2 linked regions of the Arabidopsis thaliana genome follow. The protein of the gene in region 1 purifies or fractionates together with the protein of each later gene. This does not show direct contact. Each region holds a gene or a part of one and is shown on either strand. Other genes may lie near its edges. The genes, in order: SGT1B and GME.

Region 1 (5,086 bases):
AAACAGGAGCTTGAAATCCAATCAGCAAAATAGGAGCTTTCTCCAAGCACTTTGCGCTGAAGTTCTTTTTCTTTACCATTTCCTAGGCACAATGACCAGATCGTTATATGGGGCCTCCACTGAGAAGGTTGTTCAACATCACAACAACTAGACTCAACGCGAAGAAGATTCTGCCTCAACTGAACAAAACAAAACGTTGATTTCACGGAACGCTTATCATCAGGGGCAGTAACAATCTCACCGAAGTTTTTATATGTAAATTCACCATCTATATATGACATAGTAAACAGCACAGCAGAACCACTACCATCCCACAGCACAAAAGTTTCAGAAATACTATCATCTTTATCACCTTCAATAGTTGATGTACTAGAGTAAAGTATCATTGCTTCTTTGAACAGAAAATTTGAAGAATGCGAATCATCAACAAAAGATATCTCTCCTATTGCCTCCTCGCGATTCAACAACCAAAAGACACACCTACTCTTCGAGAAAAACGCAACAAGATCCCCTCGAGTTATTACTGATACAGCAATTTCCCCTTCACTCAACCAGTTTCTAGACACTAGAGAGCCTTTGCTCGGTTCAGATTTCTCTGACACTGAGACCAACTGCAACCTACCAAACGAATCAGCCATAAGCAATGATTCCTGCTCATCTAACTGAACCACGCCCATAAAATTCAAACAACCAATAGATAAATTCCCATGGAAAACTGTATGAACAATAGTAAGAGTGTAAGTATCAACAACAACCACCGTGCATCTCGACTTCTGAAAATCAGTATCTGCTAAAGTCTCAGCCCCATCAACATCGATATAAGAACAACCAACACATACATATCTAGGCTCTGATGGCAAAGTAGACAAAATCGATGGACTTCCAACCCAAGGAGGTAATTTTCTTCGTTTCCTACACTGACCACTACTTCTACTCCATACACACAAGACACCATCAGTACAAGCACTGATCAATGCACAACAGTTAACAAATGGATCCGCATTACCATTATCTGATGCAACAACTCCATTACTTGAAAGTATTGTAGGATCACAAATAGCAAGATCCACTATTGGTGAAGTATGGCCACACAACATAGCAATCGGTTTAATCTCATGATGAGGGAGACGAGTTACAGAATTGGATTCGGAAGAAGAAGAGATGCTCCACCAGATGATTGACCCATCGGATCCACCGGTATAGAGAGTCGGTGGATTGGTTAGAGAGGCTGTGGCGGTGACCCGATGAGACGGAGGAGCACGAGACCATAGGCAGGCCACAGATCGGCACTTCATCGGCTTGAATCAAGCGGTACAAGCATCGACCGAGTCAGTGAACGAGTCGGGGTGAGAGAAGAAGGAAGAACGAACTGGTAAACGACGTCGTAACAGTAATCACGACAAATATATCTGTACATATTTAGATGGATTTTTCGAGGTTGCAAATAAATTTTTTAAGGTAAATATTTGGCAAAAGTTTGATAATTGATATTTTAACTTTACTAGATTATTATCAACTTAAAATACTTAAATCTGTGTATTGGACGACGGGTCCTAATCTAGTCAATATATAAATTATAACTTGTTAAAATATATCATAGTCTAAATTCACAAATCACATTGTATTTGCTAAACTATGAGTAAACGATTACGATATAAACAAAATGAGTAGAAAATGATTATTTTAAATTATTGTAGTTCTCTATAAATATCTTTACCATTAGTTTTCTTTCCTTTTTTCAGTATTATTCTTTTGTCAACTAATTTATTTGTTAAAAAATCTGGACTTATCAAGAATCAATCTTATGTTAAAAAATAAAATCAAAAGGAAATTAGAAAATAAAATAAAATCTAATTACCTTTTTGTTTTTGGTTATATGACCTAGTAGAGGTATTAAAACGTTCTTAAAAGAAAAAAAAAATCCCAAACACAGCAAAAAAAAAAAAAGCCTAGAGGAATAGAATCGGTCTCTTTCTCTATAATCTCTCTCTCTCTCTGACTTGTTTGTGTTCTCTCAAATCCTCTGATAAGAATCAATGGCCAAGGAATTAGCAGAGAAAGCTAAAGAAGCTTTTCTAGATGATGACTTCGATGTTGCTGTTGACTTATACTCCAAAGCCATTGACTTGGATCCCAATTGCGCCGCCTTCTTCGCCGATCGTGCTCAGGCCAACATCAAAATCGATAACTTCACTGGTATAAATATAACTCTCTTCCTTACCGTTAATATCATCGTTAAAGATTGAAACTTTATTAGATGTATTGCTTCGTTGACGCTTTTGGGGTTCTGGGTCTTGTTCTTTTGTCGTTACTTTAATTCGATCTGTTGATAGTGGAACAAAGTTTTGATTTTTGTTATTGGTTTGGTTTAGTTTTAGTTTTAGGGTTTCTTTTGTGAGGTTGTTGATTCGGATAAGAAAACTTATTTGAGTAATTGTAATTGTAGTTACTGTACTTTGATTGAATTGTTGTTGTTTGATGATTTGATTTGATATTTTATCTTTTTGTGGTTTCTATGAGCAGAAGCTGTTGTAGATGCGAACAAAGCCATTGAGTTGGAGCCAACGTTGGCAAAAGCCTATCTCAGAAAGGGGTATGATATTTTCACCATCTCTCTGTAGTGAATGATTTGATGTTATGTTCAAATTTGATTGGAATTATAATTCTATCTTCTGATTCTTTGCTACTGTGTTCGCAGCACTGCTTGTATGAAGCTAGAAGAATATAGTACTGCTAAAGCAGCCCTGGAAAAGGGAGCTTCTGTTGCACCGAATGAACCAAAGTTTAAGAAGATGATAGATGAATGCGATCTTCGTATTGCAGGTATGTTACATCAACTCCATAGCTTAAGAAATTAGTTACTAAACGATTTTGGGTATTTGTCTGCGCCTAGGGCTATAATTTTGATATAGTCTTTGTATCTCTGTTCAGAAGAAGAGAAAGATTTGGTTCAGCCGATGCCACCGAGTTTGCCTTCAAGCTCTACAACACCACTAGCAACGGAAGCTGATGCTCCTCCTGTTCCAATTCCTGCAGCACCTGCCAAACCGATGTTCAGGTAGTCTGGTTATCTAACATGTAAATTCTTCTTTAATTTCCAGAATCATTTTATACTCATAACTTTATTGCTCAACAGGCACGAGTTCTACCAGAAACCAGAAGAAGCGGTGGTGACAATTTTCGCCAAAAAAGTACCTAAGGAGAACGTAACTGTCGAGTTTGGTGAGCAGATTGTGAGTATCCTTCAATCAGAGAATTCATGACTTTTATCTGAACTTCAGAAACTATCTCTCTTTGTAATTTAACACTGTATTGATTTGAGATGTCTATCTTGGCTTTATTTTGGTGCAGCTGAGTGTTGTCATTGATGTTGCTGGAGAGGAAGCTTATCATCTCCAGCCGAGATTGTTCGGGAAGGTATATTTTATTTGACATATGTAATTACGGTGTTTTCACACACACTTTTACTAAATCCTTCTTCATGGGTGTTTTTCAGATAATACCAGAGAAGTGCAGATTTGAAGTATTGTCGACCAAAGTTGAGATCCGTCTTGCGAAAGCAGAGATAATCACCTGGGCCTCCCTTGAATATGGTAAAGGGCAAAGTGTTTTGCCCAAACCCAATGTCTCATCAGGTTTGTCTCAGAAGATACCAGCTTACGTTTACTATTTTATTCTGAACCACAATCGTAAAACCTTAAACAAACTGAACCCAAAGTGGTCTCTCTCTCTTCTCATTTGATTTTATGTGCATATGCAGCGCTGTCGCAGAGACCAGTGTACCCATCTTCTAAGCCAGCAAAAGACTGGGACAAGTTGGAAGCTGAAGTGAAGAAACAGGTTCCACAAACGCTAACTTCTCATCCTTAACACTAGAGGCTTTGCTGTACTTTGTTCTTTCTGCTTATCACTTTTGAATTTCGCAGGAGAAGGATGAGAAGCTTGATGGAGATGCAGCTATGAACAAATTTTTCAGCGACATATACTCGAGTGCAGATGAAGACATGAGGCGGGCAATGAACAAATCATTTGTGAGCAAATCTATCTTTGGTCTTTAAAATTTTGGTTTAATAACTCTGCTTTGTTCTTCGACTAATGAGATTTTCCTCTCGGGTGGTTTTTGGGTTTGACAGGCAGAGTCGAATGGGACGGTACTGTCGACAAACTGGAAAGAAGTTGGGACTAAGAAAGTGGAGAGCACTCCACCAGATGGCATGGAGCTCAAGAAGTGGGAGTATTGATCTTCTTAAAATCCCCTTTTCTGGTTTTTGTTAAAAAAAAGTCTGACAAATCTTTTGAACTTTTAAGGTGTTTTTCTTTTTTGGTTTCTGCTCGAATTTGTCTCTCTCCATTCTTGCGTTGTGGTCTCAAAGAACGTTCTGATACTTTGATTTTGTATTAGAAAACTAAAACTCGCAAGTCTGTTGTTTTGGAACTTTGTTCTTTTATCGAGAGGCTTATCTAAATATTTCTTGACATAATTGCATTGTGGTCTAAAAGGTTAGTTGTATAAGCCCAACTTTCTTTAGTTAAAACCGATGTGCATCTATATAGTGAGACAGTATTTTCACCTTTGGGGTTCCTGGTCTAGGAACACTGTTGTTGAATCCAAATCTTTCTTTCTTCTCAAATGCCTTAAGGATTTGAAATGAACATGTTAAGCTATCATCAACACTCATCAATGCACCAGCATTGTCAAACTCGCCACAGTAATTGGGTGCAGAGAATTTGTCTTCACGAAATCAGAGCTACTTTCCATCTTCATGTATATATTAGCTGATTCAGACAAGAAGGATACTAAGTTACAAGTTTGTTATAAGATGCAAGAGTAAAGGATTTCACTTTGCAGGTTGTATCAACCAATTGAAACAGTCTTGTCACCATAAGTGATTTTAGATTATAATTTGTTTCATGCAAGTTTTTGTGAAAGACTTTTATGGAAGTTCATATATATATATATATATATATATATAATACTAACTGAAATACCAACTTAAAAGTAAAAACAAAATCTCCACAAATGGATCTGTTTTACAGTTATAACAACACTGTAAAATAAAAAAAGACAGTAGCAGGAAGAATTCAG
Region 2 (5,320 bases), on another chromosome or scaffold:
TTAAATGCTTCATTTGCTTTTGCATATGATATAAAAGGTGATTTGGGCTCATTTGAGAAGCGACACGAAGAAGAGTGAGAGCAAGAGCAAAACCACAACAAAAAATTGGGTGATTGTTGAGTTGATGATTTGAAATATATCGATTGTCTTATTTTAGATGCATAAATGAATATTTGTAGTATGATGCTAACGTCAAAGATTTTTGAAAAAACACTGATAACATATATATTCAAAGAAGCTAACAATTGAGCCGAAAGTTGCTTAATTGTTTTGAGATTTTACTATGCTTTTCCTTTTGATTTAGTGGTTTTTTTCTTAGTTTTGGATTAAGTTTAAGCTTTATTTCCTTTGATATTATTTAAAATAATAAAAAAACATTATATGTTATGTTATAATAATATCGTCCTTATCTCATATTTGTTTTTTGATAAAATGTATATTCAAAATTTAAAATAGTAAATACGTTATTTTTCGGATCATCTCGAGTCTAAGACCAAATCTTAGAACATGGATAAAAATCTCAAATTTTAGATATTTTGCTGATCGGGAGAGTTGCATAAAAAAAGCAATATATAAACTTAAAACCTTATGATTTATTACGTGTGACATTTTTGACCGAGGAATGGGATAAAGAAGTGGATGGAAGAGAAAGAATGGTGAGTCACCGTGAGTGATCCCTAACCTCTAGAGATGTGTGAATAGATGATAAGATGCAAGAAAAAACACAAGCCACTTACTTGTACTGGTCCGTGAGAGGACCACGACATCAACTTGACTATGATGATAAACATACATACTGTGAATGAAAGGACCACAATAATATGATAACAGACTTAACAATGCAAGCAAACTTTTTCAACTAAACATAAACAAGGATTAGCAGAATAGAAGGAACCAAAATCCAAAACACTTATTATTGCTTTTTTAATAGGAAGCTACCTAAAAATATATCTAAACATTTTGCTGAACTTAAAAGGCCATATTTGAGCTTGACTTATACTTTGGTGAACTTCACTCTTTTCCATCAGCCGCGCGGAGTGAGCCTAGCTGAACCGGTGCTTGAGTTCCAACCACCTTTGATGACCCGTAAAGCGACACATCGCTTCCCTTTGCTTTCTCTTTCTCGATCTGTTCCTTTATCCAGAAGTAGGTTATTCTAAGCCCCTCCTGTTTAACGATTATGGTCAAAACAATATCAGTAATAAAAGAATTAGATTATTATCTTGTCTTTGAGCTACTTAAGTAAATAATGTTGGTACCTTCAATCTCATATTAGGAGCCCAACCAAGCTTTTCTTTGATCAGATTGTTGTCTGAGTTACGACCACGAACACCTTCCGGGCCAGGAATGTGGTGAATTGGAAGCTTCTTTTCCTCAAAGCTGAGAACCATCTCAGCCATCTCATTCATGCTCACCATCTCATCGCTTCCGATGTTCACCGGCTCACGGAAATCTGATTTTGTCAACCTATAAAACAAAAATGACGAAAATATCAGCCAATTACGTCTAACATACAACTTCATCAACATCAGGAGATACCCTCACCTGAGTACACCTTCAACACACTCATCGATAAAGGTAAAAGAACGGGTCTGAAGCCCATCTCCCCACATCTCAAACCTATCAGTGGAAGTCTGAGCCTTCCTACAGAAAGCAGCTGGAGCCTTCTCCCTTCCACCTAAGTTGATCCAAGCAAATATTAATCCCAATAGTAAACAACTAATCATTCACACAAAGTACGGAAACTGTTTATCTGTATACTACCTTTCCATGTTCCAAAAGGACCATAAATGTTATGGAACCTTCCAATTCGACACTCAATACCAAAATCTTTGTTGTAATGCTTACACAACTCCTCCGTAGCAAGCTTCTCCAAACCATAAGCATCTTGAGGCTATATCAGCATCAAAACATCACATAAGAAAAGACTCATAAATCTTTAGCAAGAACATATAAAAAATAATCACAAACCTCTGCAGGCCAAGCATCTGACTCCTTCAAGCTCACATTAGTAGTCTCCAACTGCTTAAACTCTGGATAGATACAAGCACTCGAAGCATAAAAGAACCTAAAGCAAACAAAAAATCCAATCTTTTTAACTTGTTTTAAGAAACCGTAAACTGCGAAAACCGAAGAAAACAAAATCTAACTAACCTCTTAATCCCATTGATCCTAGCAGCCTCAATCATATTGAAACTAATCATAGTATTATTATACATAATCACAGAGTGATTACTCTGGATAAAACCCATACCACCCATATCAGCAGCTAAGTTAAAAACATGATCAACTCCTTCAGTAACTTTGAGACAATTCTCCATAACCCTAAGATCAACAAGATGGAACTCATCACAGAACATGTCTTCAGTCATGTGTTCATTCTTTTTCCAGTCAGAAGCAATCACGTAATGACCTTCGTGCTTCAAACGACGAGCAATGTGAGATGCAATGAAACCTCCAGCTCCTGTTATTGATATCTTGAGATTCTCAGATGGCCAATATTGCTCTCTTTCTAGCTCCTTGTATGTGTATGCTCCATAGTCTGTTCCATTGGTAGTTCCCATTCTACATTAACAAAACAAATCTGTTAAAAACAATAAGATCTCTCATGCAAAAGCTAGACATCACTGTAGAGTCCTAATTTGTGATAAATTTCTATAAAAAAGATTTGGGATTTAGAGAGTTTTGACAGAGGTAAGATTATTGATGCATTGGATTCCGGCGTAAGTTAGCGAAAAACACAAAACTGCGAGGCGTAAGTTAGCCAAAAACACACAAAATTGCAAAACAAATCTGTTAAACACAATAAGATCTCTCATGCAAAAGCTAGAAATCACTGTAGAATCCTAATTTGTGATTAATTTCTGTAAAAAGATTTGGGATTTAGAGAGTTTTGACAGAGAATGCATTGGATTCGGTGTAAGTTAGTGAAAACACACAAAATTGCGACGCTTAAGTTAGCCAAAAACACACAAAATTGCAAAGAAATATGTTAAACACAATAAGATCTCTCATGCGAAAGCTAGAAATCACTGTGGAATCCTAATTTGTGATAAATTTCTGTAAAAAGATTTGGGATTTAGAGAGTTTTGACAGAGGATGCATTGGATTCGGCGTAAGTTAGCGAAAAACACAAAATTGCGAGGCGTAAATTAGCCAAAAACACAGAATTGCGAAATTCGGATCTCAGAGAAGTTTTGATTCAGGAATCTGGGATTTTAAAACCCTAGATTAGTGGAATTGTAAGGAAGATTGGATCTTTTACCTGAGGAAGGTTTTGGAGAGTTGGAGAGATCGAAGAGATAATGCAGAGAAGAGTCAGAGATTTGAGGAAGAGGAAGAGTAAACTTGTATTTATAGAGAGAGAACAGAAGAAGATGAAGAGGAAGATGGAGAGAGCAACACCACTCGTTGTTTTAGTTTTCCAACTCCTATTGGTATTTGTGCCTCTTTCTGTTAAATTTATTTTATAACTAATAAAATCCTTCGAAAAAAAAAATTAATACTTCTTTTGTAGAGAGTTTTTTAGAAAATAGGAGATTTTATAGAAGATTTATTACTTTTTATTAGGTTTGATGATTTATATTATGCATATTATTTTTACTATTTGTTGAATCGTATTTAGATAGATAATAAGAAATGTTTTAGTTTAGAAAAAAAAAAAAACTAAATATTTTCTTTATTGGTGCACCAAACAATTTCATAATTTTTTTATTTTCTAGCTTCAATATATAAAAATATTTGTAAATAATAAATATATGTATATTCTATATATTAATTGAGAAGTTTTTTTAATAAAATATTTATATTGGCGTGTTATTAACGAAACCGTCATGTTGTGATTCTAATCCATTTAAATAATTGTCCAAATTTTACTAGATTATTACAGATTTTTCAATTAGTCTTATTCATACATATATATAATACACATTAAAAGGAAATTCTTATAAAATTCAAATAATTAAGCAATTAATCTTTAAATAATTATTATTTTGAGAAAAATTACTTTAATTTTTGTTATTTTCTAATTAACTAAAACACTATTTAACATATTTTGTATTTGCAAATAATAGTACATCTTCATATATTAAGAAATGTGTTGTAATAAATTTTTATTAAATATATAATTATTTTGTTATTTTAGTGATATATACTGTATTGAATAATTATAATGTACACATAAAAATATAAAATATTATTTATGTTTGTTTATGACATAAGAGCAACCATAAGTCCATTTTTGGAGTTTGAAACTGAAGAGTAAATTAGAAAAAAAAATCTTAAATTAAAATATAATATAAGTTAGATTGATGTTAAAAATTATTTATATAGTTATAGTATATATATAACCTAAACTATATTAGTTGGTTGAAATATTTGAAATAATAATGATTTTAGTAGTATTTTAAAGTTCATAACAATCAAACGGTCGAACCGAGATCAAACTGATTCGAGTTAATGGTCAGGTAGATTTTTATTAAACTTGTAAACTATCAAACCGTATATAAAACCATTAAAATGATTAAATACGTTTGCGAGAAATATAAATATTTAGAGATAGGCGTAATTCTCATTCAATTTTATCATGTTCCATTATATCTTACTCGTTCTCCAATTTATTTCTCATAAGAGAATGCATTTCTAATATGAGAAAAAATTTGTATTCCGATTAGAAACAGAACGTGATGGAAGCAAAAATTCTCTATATCCTGTTTGGGACAAACACAAATATAATTCATGTATATTTTTATATGATATGATATAATAAAAATATTACAAAATTAATTGACTTCTTTCTTCTTATTGTTTAATATTTTGTTCATAAATATTAAATTACATTTGTTTATTTTTAAATTTTAACTATTATAAAGCATACTATAATAACATTTATTATTTTGAGCATTTTTATGCTGTATAAATTGAAAACACATGTTACATATTTGATTGCAAACGTTAATTTGCTTAAATTGTAACTTGTTGTAATCTAAAAGCTATGTTTTTATCCCGTGTTGGCTCCTTCTATGTCGTTCCTTTTTCGTCATTCCTATTCTCGTTATATTACATTAAATATCATGTTCCGAGTTCATTTTTACTTATCTTTAAACACAATACCAGATACAGCTGTAACTTTTGGGGATTAACATATGCTTTGTTAAAATTTGTAAACATACCATAAATTAAAACATGAAAACAAATTGAAAAAATAAATGATCTATCAACTATAATATGTCATACTCATACATTTGTTCTTGTGTACGTGCACATATATGAAAACAAAATTATATTTACTATTTAATATAAATAAATAAACACCGACTTG

What was found.
Region 2: the proteins of SGT1B (region 1) and GME fractionate together in Arabidopsis thaliana (co-fractionation; one large-scale study listed by BioGRID). This does not show direct contact.

What each region holds. Positions count from the first base shown.
Region 1 is NC_003075.7:6,850,670-6,855,755, reverse strand, and holds SGT1B (phosphatase-like protein), read left to right. Parts: upstream 1-1,843; 5' UTR 1,844-2,036; coding exon 2,037-2,196; intron 2,197-2,523; coding exon 2,524-2,593; intron 2,594-2,698; coding exon 2,699-2,823; intron 2,824-2,931; coding exon 2,932-3,058; intron 3,059-3,136; coding exon 3,137-3,233; intron 3,234-3,351; coding exon 3,352-3,417; intron 3,418-3,496; coding exon 3,497-3,635; intron 3,636-3,760; coding exon 3,761-3,840; intron 3,841-3,926; coding exon 3,927-4,031; intron 4,032-4,133; coding exon 4,134-4,241; 3' UTR 4,242-4,572; downstream 4,573-5,086. Other genes in the region: AT4G11270 (Transducin/WD40 repeat-like superfamily protein), read right to left, coding at 1-1,295.
Region 2 is NC_003076.8:10,861,461-10,866,780, forward strand, and holds GME (GDP-D-mannose 3',5'-epimerase), read right to left. Parts: upstream 3,487-5,320; 5' UTR 3,266-3,486; intron 2,585-3,265; exon of another isoform or gene 2,566-2,584; 5' UTR 2,565-2,565; coding exon 2,155-2,564; intron 2,069-2,154; coding exon 1,972-2,068; intron 1,895-1,971; coding exon 1,765-1,894; intron 1,679-1,764; coding exon 1,546-1,678; intron 1,468-1,545; coding exon 1,260-1,467; intron 1,168-1,259; coding exon 1,012-1,167; 3' UTR 556-1,011; downstream 1-555. UniProt on the Arabidopsis thaliana protein: Catalyzes a reversible epimerization of GDP-D-mannose that precedes the committed step in the biosynthesis of vitamin C (L-ascorbate), resulting in the hydrolysis of the highly energetic glycosyl-pyrophosphoryl linkage.